3 linked regions of the Oryzias latipes genome follow. The protein of the gene in region 2 purifies or fractionates together with the protein of the main gene of each other region. This does not show direct contact. Links are inferred from orthologs where the notes say so. Each region holds a gene or a part of one and is shown on either strand. Other genes may lie near its edges.

Evidence for each region. Proteins that work in one complex are often made in the same cells at the same time.
Region 1: the proteins of protein POLR1D (region 2) and polr2e purify together in Homo sapiens (affinity purification with mass spectrometry; 4 studies listed by BioGRID and IntAct, with this or other methods). This does not show direct contact. The link is inferred for Oryzias latipes from reciprocal best matches to the Homo sapiens genes POLR1D and POLR2E.
Region 3: the proteins of protein POLR1D (region 2) and polr3f purify together in Homo sapiens (affinity purification with mass spectrometry; 3 studies listed by BioGRID and IntAct, with this or other methods). This does not show direct contact. The link is inferred for Oryzias latipes from reciprocal best matches to the Homo sapiens genes POLR1D and POLR3F.

What each region holds. Positions count from the first base shown.
Region 1 is NC_019862.2:26,973,708-26,979,766, reverse strand, and holds the start of polr2e (DNA-directed RNA polymerases I, II, and III subunit RPABC1), read right to left. Parts: upstream 3,777-6,059; 5' UTR 3,660-3,776; coding exon 3,603-3,659; intron 1,866-3,602; coding exon 1,691-1,865; intron 769-1,690; coding exon 653-768; intron 207-652; coding exon 126-206; intron 38-125; coding exon 1-37. UniProt on the Homo sapiens protein: DNA-dependent RNA polymerase catalyzes the transcription of DNA into RNA using the four ribonucleoside triphosphates as substrates.
Region 2 is NC_019878.2:17,474,617-17,480,333, forward strand, and holds protein POLR1D, read right to left. Parts: upstream 3,639-5,717; 5' UTR 3,581-3,638; exon of another isoform or gene 3,520-3,580; 5' UTR 3,500-3,519; coding exon 3,474-3,499; intron 3,025-3,473; coding exon 2,950-3,024; intron 1,565-2,949; coding exon 1,225-1,564; 3' UTR 735-1,224; downstream 1-734.
Region 3 is NC_019859.2:413,662-419,559, forward strand, and holds polr3f (DNA-directed RNA polymerase III subunit RPC6), read right to left. Parts: upstream 3,777-5,898; 5' UTR 3,680-3,776; coding exon 3,618-3,679; intron 2,746-3,617; coding exon 2,628-2,745; intron 2,553-2,627; coding exon 2,485-2,552; intron 2,421-2,484; coding exon 2,353-2,420; intron 2,286-2,352; coding exon 2,173-2,285; intron 2,097-2,172; coding exon 1,953-2,096; intron 1,419-1,952; coding exon 1,311-1,418; intron 1,242-1,310; coding exon 1,050-1,241; intron 972-1,049; coding exon 894-971; 3' UTR 767-893; downstream 1-766. UniProt on the Homo sapiens protein: DNA-dependent RNA polymerase catalyzes the transcription of DNA into RNA using the four ribonucleoside triphosphates as substrates.

The sequences.
Region 1 (6,059 bases), on a different chromosome or scaffold from region 2:
CTTCTTCTTTCGTCATGACGATGTGTTCTGGGACAAGCTGAAAATCAAACACAAGACAACGAGTTACAACTCACAGTCATTTGCTGCAGTTCTATCAAACTTTAGACTGATAACAAGAAATTTACCTCGTGCTCTGTAATGTTTATTAGCAGTTCCTGCTGCAGAAACTGTTCCAGAATGTACTTTGGTGCCATGTCCACAAGAGACTGTAAAATAGGATTACATTTTCAAGTAAATGTTCAGCGTCTTTGCTTATTTTAGTAATATTTCAATTAGGGCCGTGCATCAAGTTAGAGTCATTGTAGACACTGACTTAAATATCTTAACAATATCAACAATTGAAGGAATAATTTGAGTCTTATACCAAATTTTGATACTTATATATAGTGAGCCTCAAATATATCAAGTTATTTAGCAGTCTGTGTGTACAGATATGTTGTGTTGATTTCACTTTGTGCCCATTGTGCTTTTTTTGTGTGTACACTGGTTAGAGATAAGTCATTACTTTCAAAATAAGATAAAACATTTCTGAAGAATGTGTTATAAAAATATTTTTTTGAATCAGTATCCAACAATGTAATGATCAGGAACCGTTCCAGTATGTAAACTTTAGCAACGATACCCAGCCTTAGTTTTAAATGATTACACATACCTGCTTAGCTGAGGGTGTCATGCCCATCTGAACCACGATGATGGCTCGAGTAATGTTCTCCTCCTGCATCCTTTGACAGTACATCTTGATTGTCTTGATCCCGACCTTGGGTTCCTCTAATCCAGAATAGAAAAAGAATCATTTTGAATAAAGCTTTATTAGGCTTGTTCAGAAATGTAAATACATTCGCTGCTCCCATGTTTGATGAGCCACCCCGGTGAAAACGGTGTTTTTTTAATATGGAGGACAAATATGACAGAATTGAAGACAGTTCCAGTGTGTCTTATATTAAAGTACAACTAATTACGGTTGCAATATTTTCTAACACTGAACCTCTTTGCTATTGCCAATAACTGTGTCTGATCTGCGAAAAAGAAAAATGATAAAAAGAATAGGAAACTGTAAAAAAATATAACCTGTTAGACTCAAATGAAAGGTTGATATTTTCAACTGAACCTTAAATATTGATGGATTACTTAAATTTGTATTTTGACTTGTGAAAGATTTAAAAGAGGAAATTGACTACAGTTGGATATGACATTTATAAAATAAATCATGTAAAAAGTGCCGTTGCGATTGGTAAGGTTAGTGTGTATTCTTCTCATAGAATGGTGTTAAACAGCGTTCAGTTGTCAGCTTTGCTCGTCTAAAACCAGAAGTACGGTGACACAATGGCGCCCATGTCTCTGTTTTGTCTGACGTCACCATGAAAAGGGTCTATTGGCTTCATTTCTCTGGAGCCGGAAGAAAGGCGACGTCACCATGGCTCAATTCTCTAATAAAGTCAATGTAATCTAATGGGAGAGTGTGTAAACAAAAAAGGGATGATGGGATATCAGCAGGGGCTTACGTCCGTGCCAACAGTGATGCCCACACAGGTTTTTATGAATTTGGCTAAAAACAGAGCATTCATAAATATAATACCACTGGGGACTCCTTTAAAAATAAATCGAAATATGATTGGAGTGTAACTTAAACTTTTGGTTATTTTATGGATAAAAGGATGAGTTCCCAAATTATTCTCAAGTATAAACCTACCAGGAAAGAAAACAAACATTTGATCAGTGGGATCATCGTTGTGTGCGACCAAGACTGTAAGGTCCGTCCGTCTGGGACGACCCTCGCTGGGTTTGTCTCCGAATTGACTCTTGAACTCCTCCAGGGTCTGGTCCAACTCATCTTGTGTTACCAGATAGCCTCGATCGTGGCAGAGCTGTGGTTAAAAAAAACAAACAACATTTTAATATGTATAGTGTTGGCCAAAGGTTTTGAGAATTACATAAATATTGGAAATTGCAAAAGTTGCTGCCTAGGATTTTATAATAGCAATTTGCATGTTCTCCAAAATGTTACAAAGAGTCATCAGATGAATTGCGTAGTCCTTCTTTGCCATGAAAATTAAATGAATCCCCCCCCCAAAAATCATTTCAGTCATCGTCTTTTTAACTCAGTTGAGAATGTTGACGAGCACAAGACTGGAGATCATGATGTCAGGCCGGTTGGGTTAGAATGGCAGACTTGACATGTTAAAAGGAGGGTGATGCTTGAAATCATTGTTCTGCCACTGTTAACCATGCTGACCGGCAAAGAAACGTGTGCAGCCATCATCGCGTTGCATAAGAATGGCTTCACAGGCGAGGATATTGTGGCAGCTAAGATTGCACCTAAATCAACAATTTATAGGATCATCAAAAACTTCAAGGAAAGAGGTTCAATTCTTGTTAACAAGGTTTCAGAGCGTCCAAGAAAGTCCAGCAAGTGCCAAGAATCGTCTCCTAATGGGTTTTAACTGTGGGATCGGAGCGCCACCAGTGCAGAGTTTGCTCAGGAATGGCAACAGGCTGGTGTGAGCGCATTTGCATGCACAGTGAGGCGGAGACTTTTAGAAGATGGCCACTTATCCACCCCAAAAACAAACATCAGGGACAGATTGATCTTCTGCAAAAAGTATGGCGAGTGGACTGCTGGGGACTGGGGCAAAGTCCTATTCTCCCATGAAGCCTCTATCCGATTGTTTGGGGCATCTGGACAAAGGCTTGTCCGGAGAAGAAAAGGTGAGAGCTACCACCTGTCCCGTGTCGTGCCAACAGTAAAGCATCCTGAGACCCTTGATGTGTGGGGTTGCTTCTCATCCAAGGAAGTGGGCTCATTCGCATTTTTCTCCAAAACCACAGCCATGAATAAAGAATGGTGCCAAAACTCCCTCCAACAGCAACTTCTTCCAGCAATCCAACAACAGTTTGGCGTCAAACAATGTATTTTCCAGCACGATGGCGCACCGTGCCATGAGGCAAAAGTGATAACTAAGTGGATCGGGGACCAAAATGTTGACATTTTGGGTCCACGGCCTGGAAACTCCCCAGATCTTAATCAATCTGGGTTGCTATCGGTCAGGATTTGGCCCTAAAGTTGATTGACAGCATGCCCAGTCGAATTGCAGGGGTGCTGACAAAGGAAGTCCAACACTGCAAAACCTGACTCTCTGCATAAATGTCATATAATTATTGTCGATTAAAAAAAGCCTAAACGTAATAAAGAGCTGATAACTATATTTCAGTACATCACAGAAACAAAAATCTAAAAGCAGTTTAGCAGCAAACTTTGTGAAAGTGTATTTAATGATTTGAAGCATTCATGTTGTCATACATGTAGTCTACATGTACGAAAACATGTTGGCTTTTTTTAATGGGTCATCATGGGTGTGCTAAAGTTAGCCTTCGTTCAAACGAGGCTAACGAATGCATCATTCCTACACATAATAATTAAAAAAAAAAGTCTGAGCGCGTAATTGGAACGACTTGCACTGAGAATAAGAGATTAACACACAAAACGTAAAAGATTTAGTTACAACTTTAACAATGGCAGTCAAAAGCGACTCTTTAACGCGAGCCACATGTGAAGCTAACAGCTAGTTCGCTGCTAAGCTAGTATATCCTTTTATTTAATCCACCTGCATTATTGTTTTACGGATCTTCCACAGCCGGTAAGTTTCCTCTTCATCGTCCATCCTTTCTCAATTTATTCTCCTTTTCGTATTTTTAAATCACTAATATTCTTCTAAAAATCCGATGGCATCGATGGTTCCTGGCTTGGCCAATATTATATACCACAATGCATTGCGTTTGATCGAGTTGACGTTTAAAAAAACTGTTCTTAAAGAAAAGTCCTCCAGGTTATTATCTTCAGAGCGAATTTATTAAGTCTTCATAAAATGTTCTTAATTATTCGGTATTTTTTTTTAACTTCGGCTAATTGGAAATGTAAATCTGAAGACAATTTACTTATGGTAAAAAAAATAAATTAAAATAAAAATTTGCTTCAGAATTAAAAATCTCTTTCTAAATTTATTTTTTACTGACTGAATTTAGGTTTTAAAAAAGCTTAGTATATTTTGCTAATAATAAATAAATATATCACCTTCTATGTTTTAATTATGACACATTTTATCTATAAAAATAGATAAAATCTTAGAATGTAGACGAGGGTCATTGAGTATAATTTAAGTACGTCATCTTGACTCTTCTTTAAATTAAACTGTTGCAGTGAAATAGAAACTGTCTTTTGGCTGTTTTGCTATTTGTTCATGTATCGCTAGTTATATCGTCATCGCAATATTGATCATTGATATCGCAGAACGCGAGTTTCCTCATATCGTGCACCTCTATCTCCTACCCCCCCCCCTTTTTTTGAACGTTTTGACCTATATTTTATTTTTATTTTTGTTTTGAAAAACCTCATACGTCATTTCCTCCTTGTCTTGTCAAGCATTTGACTCCACCCACTTGAGTTTCACAACACTGGGTGGAAATGAGTCACGTGCGCTTACAATGAACAAAATAGATTTTTTCCGATAACTGGGGCCTTTTTATTATTATTTTTATTTAAGTCGCTGTCAAAAATGAGGCCATTAATTGTTATGTTGACAGTTGGGGCTATAGCGAGCAGCGGAGCACTGCTGGCGATGGTACTGTACTTTGTTTTGTCCACCACGGTAAAGTATTTCTTCTCTATAACCTGATTGCATAGCCTAGCACAGTGCATGCGTTTCCATTGGAGTACATGTATTATTACATGTCTATGCATACGTAGGCATGTCTCCTGTTATTGTTGTGTTTTTGTCATCGTTCTGCTTAACACCTCGTAAGGAGATTTCTCCATAAGCTCATAAACCTCTTATATTTGTTAGCCAGCGAGTTCTGGATGGTTCCGAACAGTCCGGAACAGAACAGACTATAGTCACAAACGCTGGAGCAGCGCCAGCATCCTTCACTCCGTCTGTTCACTGGCACCAGCTGATAAACATATCACAGTGTCAACATTTTAGATGTTTTTTTTTGTATGACGTAAAAAACCTCTGCCTTACTTTTTTATTTTTTTTACATTTACCTTCACATTTTGTATGTTTTGCCATTTAAGAACACATTGCTAAATTCCATTTAGGTTTTTATATGAGTCTAAATACCAAGACAGCTCAGAAGAACAGTTCAAAACAAACACAATGACTGATAAATCGTGAAGTTTCTTATTTCCTGTCGTGGTTTGTTGATCAAATCAGTACATTTAAGATCTCTTTTTTTCTGGGATTAGATTCTTTTCCCTATTAGTTTTAATCATTTGACACAATGTGTTTTTGTTTCCTTTGCCTGGGCAAATGGCTCAGGTTGTCTTGAGATTATGTCAATGCTGTGAACTGTGGACCGCAGTACAAAGGTGTTTTTGATCTGCAGGCTTTAATTGCCAGCAGGAAAGTAGGAAGTGCTGGACAATCCCATCCTATCAGCTGCGTTACAGATCACATGTTTTCTCTGTGAGGACACTGCAACGTGTGCTTTTTGCGTATAAAGCCAGAGTCGCGGGGAGGGGGAATCAGAGATCGGATTGTTTTCTGCCTTTATAGAGGCGAACTGAAGGGCAGCCATGCTCCTGACAGGCTGTACAGTGCTTTTCTCTGTCCTGCTGCAGGTTATGGTAAGAAATGACAGGAGCTGCATTGGACTGGAACCTAACTTTGCCAGCTCTGCTTTTGTTTTGTGTTTTTATAGAATGGATTTGTTCATTTTTTCTTATGTTTTATGTCATGTCTGGTATATTTTTGTTTATTTTTGTGCTGATTTTCACCCAGATTGACATTTTTATGCCTTTAAAACAATGTTTACCTTTAACCAACAGTCCACTCCGACAGAGGACTGGCAGAGGGCCACATCTATTTACGATTTCAATGCAACAGACATCGATGGCAACTTGGTTTCCTTGGAAAAATACAGGTATTTGAGATCAATTCTTTCTCGTTTTGCTCTTCTGGTAAAACGACGATCATCCATTTTCCCGTTGTGTGTGTTTTTCAGGGGGAACGTTGTCATCATCACCAACGTCGCCTCCAAATGAGGCAAAACCGTAGTAAACTACT
Region 2 (5,717 bases):
AACAGCTCTCCTAGTGTGTCAATTAAGTTGGAGAGCGTGACTGAACTCAATTAAACGACGTGGAGCGCGCATCCCCCAGAGCGCACCTGGAACTTTACGCAACACTTTGAGACGTATACAATTTCTCCTAATCCAAGCGTAGGAAGGCCCTGAGCTTAGCTACAGCTGAACATTATCAACTATTTGCTTTTTGGATCCTCAAAAGCAATGATGGCGCTTTTCATGGTATCCTAATGCAGCACTCAGCAATGCAATAAAGTTCAAGCAAACCAATTCTGCGCTAAAGAGTCGCCTGATATGGCTTAATGGTATTTGATCATTGTTGCAAAGAGGAAGGAAACAGTTAACCAGGACTAGACTCTACTACAGTGGAGATGGACTGCGTGATTTATGAAGCATGACTATGAAATGTTTTTAGAGAACTTATAGACCTTTTTGTGAGCAGAGGGAGAAATGGTCTAACTGGTTGTAATCGAGGCGTTAAAAAAAAAAAGCTTTGAGAACAATAAAACCTGAAAATGACTCAAAAACAAGAGCTATAGTGAAGTTACAACATCACCTTCGGCTAAAGTAGATGTCCAGGAAGATGGAATTCTCATCTTTTCTTTTTATTCATAGCTATAACAGTCGTACTGTGTCTTCACGGGGACTGGGAGTGTAAGGAAACCACTTTTCTCCTTTGAAAAACAAGAGCGGTTCTGATAGCTGCTGTGCACATTTCAAAACATTAGACAGGATATAAAATTTGTTTACTCTTTGGCGACAGCAGCATGGCTTATATAAACACCAGTGGTGGATAACCACAAAAGAATGGTTAATGACATTATAATGGAGCTACAGCCACCTTTACAAAGTGGAACATGATAAAACAAATATTAGCTTTGATATGATTTTTAGATTATATCCTAAAAAGTATATTTGATGTTTCGTTCTGGTGCATAAAGATTCATGTTAGAACTGTAAGAGGATCAATTATTCATGCCTGAAAACACAAAATATTTATTTCCTTTTACTCTCTTCATTCATTCATTCAAAAGCTGTAATACAAATTGTATATTCTGTCACTGTACAATTCGTTGTGATCAGCAGAGGTCCTTCTAGTCTGTCTGGGTCTCTGTGAGGGTGAGAGGGCTCTACAGAACTATTTCAAGTCAGCCATACTCCTCCAGCCAATTAATTTTTCAGTAGAGCATCAAGGCTACCTTTAAAACACAGCAAGTTCATTCATGAAGAACTTCTTTTTCTGTCTCCGTTTGGTCCATCGGCATGCTTCCTGTCTCTGCTGTTGTCCCCGTGTCTGTCAGATTTGTTCTTATCTTTGTCCAGTTCCTTATCTCGGTTTGAACGGGTGTGATGTTTATGGTCTTTGTGGCGTCCATTACTCCTGTGGTCTGTCGGAGGTGTTCTGCTGCGGTCACACCGTCTGTCACGGGACTTGTGGGTCAGGCGGTCTCTTGTTTTGGAGTCTGCGGTTCTCTGCTCATCGTTTCGCCGCTGCAGGCCGGTAGAGCGCAGAGTGTTGAGGAGAAAGCGTTTGTTGGTGCTCTGCAGGGGACATTTCAACCTGACAGAGAAGAAGACAACACAACCACTTAAAAATTCAGAATTAAGGTTTTTTTTTTAATCTAAAGTCTAATGTGAAAAGCGACAGTTATCTGATCAGTATATCTGACAGATGTATAGTCGTTTCCATTAAAGGACAAATTGTCTCCAGAGTACAATTTAAATTATAGGACAACTATTAAGGGCATGACTTTGCTTTAAGTTGGGAGTTAGATGCTCACCTTACTGCTTTTTGTATAATTTCACTTTTTGTTAGGTTCCCACATGAAAATAAAACATTATGGTATTGTGCTGTTTTTCCATGTTTTCTAACACTTAAAAATACTGGGTCATTCTTTAATTTACTACTAAATAGTGTGATAAGAGGTGCAAGTTTTCTGGAAATTACATAAACCAACTTTTTTTTAATATTCTGTAGTTTTTTTGGACCAGACCTAAAAAACAAAATAACATAAACCTCTTCATTAGAAACCCACAAAAAAGAATAAAGTCCTTCTAAATTTGTTTAAGATCTGTTAAACATACACAAATAAATCTTATCATTTCAAGAGACTCAATGAAGGGAGATCCAAAGAGAAACCCATTAACCATCAAACAGATCAAATACACAAAAAGTGAATAGGTCAATAAATAATTTCATGCAAAAGAAATCATTGTGCAACAATATACTTGCAAACATTTGTCGATCTAATTAATACAGATCAGTCAACAAATATTGGTTACCAAGATAAATCTATGATTGTAAATGCGACACAGTGTGAAAAAACTCAAACTGTAATTGTTACACAAAAGACAAGCCTTGCAGACTTCAGAGAACGTTGTCATGTAAATGTTTGGGATAGACAAAAAAATGTGAAAAGTTTAAGTTAGGTAACATTATAATTATGGACAGTCTTTTAAAAAAAAATTTTATTTGCCTTTTGTCCCCTCCTTTCAAGTGACTTTTGTAACTGCATTAAATGACGAGTGAATGACAGCTTCAGAACATTAGCTTTGACCTCTCACATCTGAAATAAATCAAGAAGAAAAAAATAGTTTTGATAAATCAGCGTCAGCCCAGAAAATAAAAATGTCTGAAAGCATATTTTCAATTCCAGGAAAGTTCACAGGGTTATACCGTTTTTTTTAGACATAGAATCACTACAGACACACAATCAATAAATAAATATTAATAATAAATTTAGTCTATATGTGTGTGCTTTTAGATGCCAAGAGAGACAAGTGTCTTTGGGAACCTGACGAATTATCTATAATAGAAAACTAGTTAAACACAAATACAACAATAATAGAAGCCTCCAAAAAAAACAGCTAAACCTATGAAGTAAGATTTTACATGGCGTTTTATGTGGAGGCTGTCAGGGATGACATTTCAGAACCATAACTCACCATCCTGCAGGGCCCATGGTCTCAGCTCTCACCCTGGCTCTGTCTGTCTCCTTGAGGAGTTCCTCTATAGCCCGTCTGGAGGAAAAGACGTAGAAAAATGCGGATAACAACAGAAGACCAAGATGACATAAAAGCTCAAGGGGAGACTAATATAATTATGTGCGAGCGAGGAAGAAAATAGGAGACGCGGAGGAAGTGAATCATAAGTAATTGGGACATCAGCGGTGTCCCCGTTTAACCCGACCAGCTGAGGCATTAGTCTCGCAGGGGGCTCTCTCTGATTCAGCCGATCTTATAGCACGTAGTGAGAACAGCTGTTGATTGCCAAAAGGCAGAGTGTGTTGACTGCTACACAAGATACACTCCGTCCCCTAACCAAAATAACCCCATAGCTACAGAAATGCATTATGCAAACATGCTAGCCTAATCTGGTGGTACCAGACACCATTCCCCCGATGTATTAGTTTAACCGAGCAAACGTAAACAAGTTAATCGATGATAATCTAAAAATAAAAAATACTTACTTTTCCAATTCATTATCTTCAGCCATTATGCCTGACCACCTAAAGACTTTAAAACGCAGAATTATTTCAGGAAATTTCTACAGGCTCATGTTAGGGGATTTATTTACCTCTGCGAGGTCCTTCTTTCGAGGACCTGATTTTATGACCAAAAGATGCCTGATCATTTCATTGTTTTATATTGTTAAACCATAACATTTTTTTTTAAATAAATAATGCATTTTTGTAAAATTCACGCCGTTTTTAGAACCCAAACATTTATTCTAAAGTAATTTAGTTACTAAAATAATAGTTGTAATTGTCACATTGAAAAACAAAAAATATTCCATGCCCTGTATGATCCCGAAGCTTTATCCGTTTATGTTATTACCTCTAACATATCGGAATCATAAACATATTAAAAGATTTTAATTCCCGCTGAATGGACGTTTTTGGGCAGGCGACATTGAAGCCACCTCTACTTTTTTTTTCTTTTTTTTGTGGATTGACAGCGGCAAACTCCGCCCAGTCTCTTTGACGGACAGCAGTGGGCGGGACCAGGCACCAAAGTGACGGGGGCGTTTTCGTGCAGGTTTGCGGAACGGGCCGTCCGTTGCGGCGACTGCGTGACTGAGGTCCCGCAGCTGCTAATTGTCCCGCCACCCCCGCCCCTCTTCGAGGCCCGGGCGCGGCGCAGAGGAGCAGCCTGAAGAGGTAACATCACATCTGCATCCTTTCACTGTAAGCGGCGTCAGTGTGTGTGATGCTGGCTTTTTCTGTTATTACCATTGTCGCCTCTTCTGTCCTCCCTTTTCGCTCCTAGGGGGGGTTGGACTCAGACAGTGAACGGGGGGTTTGAGAGATGGGGGGAGGGCTTATCTAAACATTGATGGTATCAAAAATATATATATATATATATTTTAGTAATTGCTTTGCAGATGGGGCGTTATTAAGGTAAATGCAGAAAATTGACAATAATAATTGAAAATGTAATTTACAGCAGGCTCAGTTTTTGTATTATTACTAATGCATGCAAAAAATAAATATATAATAATGTTCACATCAGTTCTCGTGCTGTCTTTGTGTGTTTAGTATTTGTAGGATGAAAGACATCCAAATGAGGTTTTTGTAAAATATCTGATACCTGGGTGCCTGATACACCTGAGTTTTTAAATGAGTGCCATAGAGTCTTTTGATCTTCTAAAAAGGAAACTCCTGCATGCCGCTGCCTAGTTCTCCCAAGATTAGATAGTAATCTGTGGGAAAATGAGAGCAAGTGCAGGACCGGTATCCTAATATAAAAAGATGAGCAAGTACAGCTTTGAACTCAGACAAGAAGGATTAAGAACGTGTCACACGCATCTGCAAGCCTTCACTTATTAAAAAAAATCAGCCCAGCGTGGCTTTTGTCTAAAATAGATTGTTTTTCAACTGCTTCCTGACTCAAAAATGCATTTACTGTTAAAACCGGAAGGCGTTATTTATTGATGAGGAGATTTCAGGGGCTTCTGCCTAAAAAAAGCCCTTGTGTGTTTCTGTTTGCTCTTGCTTGTGCATGTCTACAAGTCTGTGTGTGATGTGGTGATGTCACAGCTTTGTTACAGAGACAGAGAAGCCTTGTGTCCTCATGTTAAATTCATGTCCAGCTGCAGGATAGGGACAGAAGCAGCCAGTCAGACACAGACAGGAGCACGCACTTGAAGGAGGCAGAAATCTGTGACTACCGGCCTGGTAGCTAAGGAGACAGAGGAGACAGGTTGCATCAGAACTGGATAACTACACAGATGAGATTGAAAAAAAGAAAAACACAAAAAAGGGGGGAAAAAATCAACAAATTGGACTCATATATCATTGTCTGACAAGCTTTCAGCTTCTGCTGTGGAGGAGCACAGAGTCCTGCTGGGAGAAGTGCATCTGTTGTGCACCTCCTCTGCATCCTTTTCTGGCTACACTGTGAATGTCAAACCACACTGAACAGAACAGGATCCAGGTCGTCATGGAGACAGGAGCAGACCCTTGCTGGAACAGAGGCAGGTAGTCACTGTGGCTTGGCTGGCCCGCTGTGGGGAGAGGCACGCCCTCTGCTGTCCGCTAACAGCATCAGTTCCAGAGGGGCGAATGATGCTGATGAAGATCTGAAAGGCGTTGGATGTGAAACTCTGTGGAAACAATAAGCAAACACATTACACCACATTAACTCTGAAGACACGCTCTGCTTGCTGGAGTGCTATTTTTCACAATTTTGCTTTAGGCATGTTCCGTTTCTGT
Region 3 (5,898 bases), on a different chromosome or scaffold from region 2:
GTTCGGTTGGCAGGTGTAAGCTCACCTGGACTCCGGTCCAGATCTGGAGGAAGCGAACACTGACGTCACTGATGGTGGTACCCGTCCCACTGGACCCTGAGAAGTTCTGAGTTCAGTTGGGTCCAGTTCTTGTGGTTCTGTTCAGCGACTTCATGTCAAGTTCTGGTTGATTCGAACCTTTTCTATATTTCCGGTTTTGATCCGTTTTCTGTTTTTAGTCTAAAGGTTCTGATGGGGGGGGGGGGGGGTCATTAATGGGTCACATGACCTGCTGACGGTCAGCAGAGAGTCCATTAGGGGGGGGGGGGCAGACTAACCTGATGGTCAGCGATGTTCCTCATCGATCTGTGAGGCGGGTCGGGCCGCTCCAGGAAACCGGATCCATCTCAGAACCGCAGTCCCTATACGCAGAATCCAAATGCTAAATTCCTCCTGGGAGGCGGCATGGTGGAGCAGTGGTCAGCGCTCTGGTTCAAATCCTGCATTCTTTCCCTTATTGTCATTTTCTGTTCCAAGTTTTATTGATTCTGTTTTCTACGCTTCAATAATAATAAACTGGTTCTCTCTGGTATCGTTCAGGGGGCCGGGTCTAATGGGGGGGCGGGCCATCGTTTGGGGACCCTTGGTTTTAAGGATCTTTTCCATTTCCTGTTTATAACGAGCATGGATGACGTTACACAGCTTGTGGGCGGGGCCTTTGGCCGCTCTTGATGGGAAATCTGAAAAAAGATCTTTCTTCAAAATCACTTCAGTCAGAATTCATGAGTCGCTTTTCACACAACAGTAAAACTTTATTAACTTAAATCAGACGTAACCAAAGGAAAGGGGCGGGGTTCCATGGAGGAAAGGGGCGTGGCTCCATGGAGGAAAGGGGCGGGGTTCCATGGGCGGAGTCAGAACTCCAGCCACTCTGTCATGTAGATGCAGGTGGATGGCGAGATCTCCCCCCCTTCGTGACAGTCGTCAAACACCTGCAGAGAGATTGGGGGGGGGGGGGGGGTGAGTGCCGCAGCCGGAGCGGCAGCAGGGGGCGTCGGAGCGCGGCTTACCGGGCACAGGCCGCAGGGCGTCTTCACCAGGCCCGCCGGCGGCAGCACGGCGTTCACGCCGCGGTACAGCTTCATCTGTCCGTCCACGCTGCCCACCGTCCCCTCCTTGGCGGCGATCACGGTCATCTCCACCTTCCCGTCGTAGATCAGCGTGTTCAGGATGGTCTCGATGTCGTCCATGGACAGGTCCACCTGCACACGGGACACCTGTGAGAACAGCTGCAGCTGTTGGGAGGGGCTGTGAGGTCACGGCGGGGCCACCTTGCTGATGCCCAACTCGCTGATGTACTTCCAGACTTCGTGAGACGTGGCGAAGGAGCTGTTCCTCTGAACCATGGGGCTCTGCTGGCCGCCCCGCGCCGCCTCCGCCTGCACACAGGGGTGAGTGGGGGTGAGGGGTGGGCCCCTCAGCCTGGTGCTACGTTCACACACGTGATGCGCGTTGAAGACCACAGAACCTTTGCTCGCCTACGGCGTTCATTCTGGACTGTGGCTACCCGGCGCCGTCTCCTGCGGTTGGACGACTCGGTGGGAAACGTCCAAATCTGGTGAGTCTTTTGTTCACAGCTCGATTCTGATCCATCATAGACTTGGCGTCGACACAAACCGCAGTTATTACTTTGTCCTTTCTGATCAAGTTTCAGTCGTTGGTACTTCTGCTTTGACGCCATCATACGTCGCAACCAACTCAGAGTCCCTGATTGGTCAAAGTTCAACTGGTTTCACGTTCAATGGCGGCGCTTTTTGTAGAGTTTGGAGGCGGAAGCGTAGACGCGTTCCCGTAGACTTTGGACTCAAAGCGGTCCCTTGAACGCGTTTCCCGGTGTAAACGTAGCTCTACAGCTGACCTCTGACCTTTGTGACCCATTGGTTTGGTGTTCCGTACATTTGGGTTCTCCATACCTTGCTCTGCAGGAACTTGAAGCACTGCTGGTTCAGAACCTCCACGAACTCGGACTCAAAGTCCTGGTCGCTGTACCAGGCCCCTCCGGTGACGGAGCGGTCCGGCTGCACGTTGTACAGCATGTAGACCTTCTTCTTGGACGCCTGCGTGGCAGACGAGCAGAGTTCAGGACTGCCGGCGGCCACAAGCACGTCTGGACCGGCTCGGTTCTGAACTCACGGCCACAGATTTGACGGCTTTGATGAGCTTCTTGCTCTCCAGGTTCTTCAGGATCTTGTTGATCTCGGTCAGAGGGAGGTTGCTCTTGAAGCGGATGTCTCTGCTCCAGATTCCTGCGAACAGAACATCTGGGAGGTTCTGACCCGCGGTACCTTCTGGAAGGAGGCAGACAGAGCTCACCTTTGTTTCCGGCATCCTCGATGATCTGGTAAACCAGCTTCTCCTGGTTGTCCGAGCCCTTCATCTTACTGAAACAGAGGATTGGGGTTCACGGTGGACAGAACCAGAACCTGCAGATGGAACGCTGCTCACCTGGCTGTCTGAGAATCTTTTAATCTGTACAGAAGACCAGAACTGTTCCTGAGCAAGTCCAGCTGGCCCTGGAACAAACACCAGGTTACGTTAGAACCCCTCTGCGCTGAAGAATGGATTGGGTTGTTCAGAACCGGACTAACCAGGGACAGCAGCTTGTTGATGGCCAGGGCCCTCTGCTGCGGCTCCAGGTGAGGCATGTCGTTCTGGATCACCTGGTCTGTGATTCCCTGAGGGAACTGCTGACACAGCTCTCTGATCCTGGAGACACACAGGCGTTCAGAGCTGAAGTTCCTGGATCAGAACCACAAGGTCCAGTCGCTCCAAAGATCAGACATCCCATAATAAACCCTGTGTCAGCTTGGGTCTCATCTCCAGTTGGAACAAAAAGGAACATCTTCAGATGGACCTCTCCAAGACGGAGGTTCTAGTGTTTCTGGTCCGTTCAGAACGTCACGTTGGATCTTCAGAAATGGTCCAAAGACCGCCTGAACTCTAGAATCCGTCTGACCCATCCGCGTGTTCTCTGAACAACATCCAGAACATCCAACAGCTGCAGCGATAGTCCTCGGACCTGGACCTTCAAACCAGGACTCGGATCTAAAACCTTCATACCGGGACTCGGTTCTAAAGTCTGCAGAACTGAACTCGGTTCTAAAGTCTTCAGACCTGGACTCGGATCTAAAACCTTCATACCGGGACTCAGTTCTGAAGTCTTCAGACCTGGATGGACTCGGTTCCTTTAGTCTTTAGACCTGAACTCACGGGACTCGAGTCCGAGTCCAGTTATGAAGACATTAGACCCGAGTGACTCGAGTCTAATGTCTTCAGACCTGCACTCGGTTCTGAAGTCTTCGGAGGTTTACTCAGATCTAAAACCTTCAGAACTGGACTCGGTTCTAAAACCACCTGAGCGTGAGCTGAGTCGGTCTCCCGATTCGAACCTCTGGAACCAGACAAAGTGGTTTCGGTCTTAGAAGCCTGCTGAGGTTCGGTTTAGAGTAGCCTCCGGAACCAGAACCGTTTCTGAACTTAAGACACGCGCGCATGAAACAAGCCAAGGAGCTGCTCGTAGATGAAATGCACGCGCTTCGGTCATGGACCGGCACGCGGCAGAATCGTGAGGTCCGAACCTGGTCTCCACCTCTGCAGGTTCCGCCAGGTTCGTCTCTTTCTTTACCCGAACCTCCGCCATCTCCCCGGTCCGCTGCTGCCGGTGACGCCGCTTCTTCTTCTGGGGGAACCACGGAGACCGGAGCGTTACCGCCCCCCAGCGGCGGGAGAGGCTCGGTCCTGTGTGACGTCATCAGAGCACGTGATGTCCGTTCACGTTTTTTTTTGTTTTTTTTTAATTTTGTTTATTTGAACTTTAAACATACACATAATAACAACATACAAAAAAGAGAGAAAAAGAAAATAAGTAAATAAATAAAACAAAATATATAGAATTATAGTTTACAACACTAGGGATTGTCATACAGCATGTGATCTTCAATGAAAACACACAGTTTTATTGCATTTTTGTTTTTCATCAATGTCAGAGATTTAAAATATAAACTGATTTCTTTAAGAAATGTATTAAATAATGGTTTCGTTTTTACAAATCTGCACTTGTGAATGAAAAATTTCCCAGATATTAATAAGGTATTGAATGTCAAATCAAATAGATTATCACCAGAAACTACTCCAAATAATATAATGTGCTTTTGTAAGTGAATAGAAATAGGAAAGGGAAACTTTGAAGAGCACCAAAAAAAGAAATCCTCCCAAAAACTGTAAACATACATACATTCAAAAAACAAATGATCAAGTGTTTCAATATTTATATCACAAAAAGAACAGTTATTCTCTGGAAAACCTAAACGTATGTGTAACAGTTCTTTGCATGGATAGACTGCATTCATTATTTTAAAATGGATTTCTTTGTATTTTGGGAAAATTGGATATTTAATGAACTGAGACCTCAACTTGCTTATTTCCTCTCTTGTGTAAAGCTGTGACATAGAATGATTTATGTCTAATGTTGGAAACAGGACGGCTCTAACAAATAAAGATCGTATAAATGAGTTTGGAAGTTTTGAATTAACCGGTCGACCATCAAACAACAGAGAGGGAAGCTGAACTTGATCATCATGAACCAGACTGGAGGACATTTGGACCAAAGTCTGAGGCTTTGATCACATTATTATATTATTTTCTATCATTTAATTTAAATTTACTGGAAAAAGTTTCAAATGAGATAATGTTTCCATTGTCATTCATAATATGTATTAATGACCAAATACTGTCATCAATCCAATGTTTGTAAAATATTGATTTGTTCCTACATAAAATATCCCAACAGTTCCATATGGAGTATTGTGTGAACTACAGTTATGTTTGTAGAGGAGTTTCCATACAGTAACAGCTGCTGATGATGAGTAGAAAGTTTAATAGGAAGTTTTCTGTAATCAAAATCACATTTTAGAAGCAACTCAATACCCCCTAGATGAGAAAAGATGTTTGAGGGAATATGAAACCAAATATTTCTCCCATTTTGCAGAAAAGACTTAAGCCAATTTATTTGAATCATACCATCCAAACTTTCAAAGTCTGAGGCTTTAAGTCCACCTTCACTGTAATCCTGAATTATTGTTCTTTTTTTATGGAATTAATTTTGTTTTTCCAGATGAAGTTGAAATTGTTCGGGTTTATTGCTTTCCTATGCTGGATAAATGAATCTGGATCAACATTCTAATTTAGTGAGAAACACTCTGAATAGAAATGTCTCGCTGTGACCAGATGTTTACATTAACTTACATTTTTCTAAAGTTTTCCATAAGTTCATTTCCTCCATAGTTTTACTGTCTTTGGTGATCTGAACTAAATATATTTCACAGCAGTCCTAACAGGAATGTTATGAAGGACTGACTGATCAGAATGGAGAACTGGCAACAATTCACATTTGCTGAGATTCAGTTTGAAACCAGATTCTTTAGAGAAGAAATCCAGGTTCTGAATGATGTCAGGTGTTTGATGACTGTCCTTCATGAATGTGGGCGTGTCGTCTGCCAGCTGAGTGATGGCTAGCTGTTCTCCCAGAACATTGAGTTTACAGAAACCAGAGTTATTTAGAAGTATTGATAACATTTCTGTTGCTGTTATAAAAAGTAATGGTGAGATTCTATCTATTCTAACAAATTCCTTTGTTAATTAAAAACCTGGGAAAAATGCCGTTTGGTAAAATAACGACACTGTTTGTATCATTATAGATTGTTTGAACAAAACTTATAAAATTAGGTCCAAATCCAAATAATTCTAAAGTCTGAAACATAAATTTGTGTTCAAGACGTCTAAAAATAAAATGAAGCCATCATCTTCAATGAACTGATTATAGTCAATCAGATCCAGAACTAACCGGATATTATTGTGAAT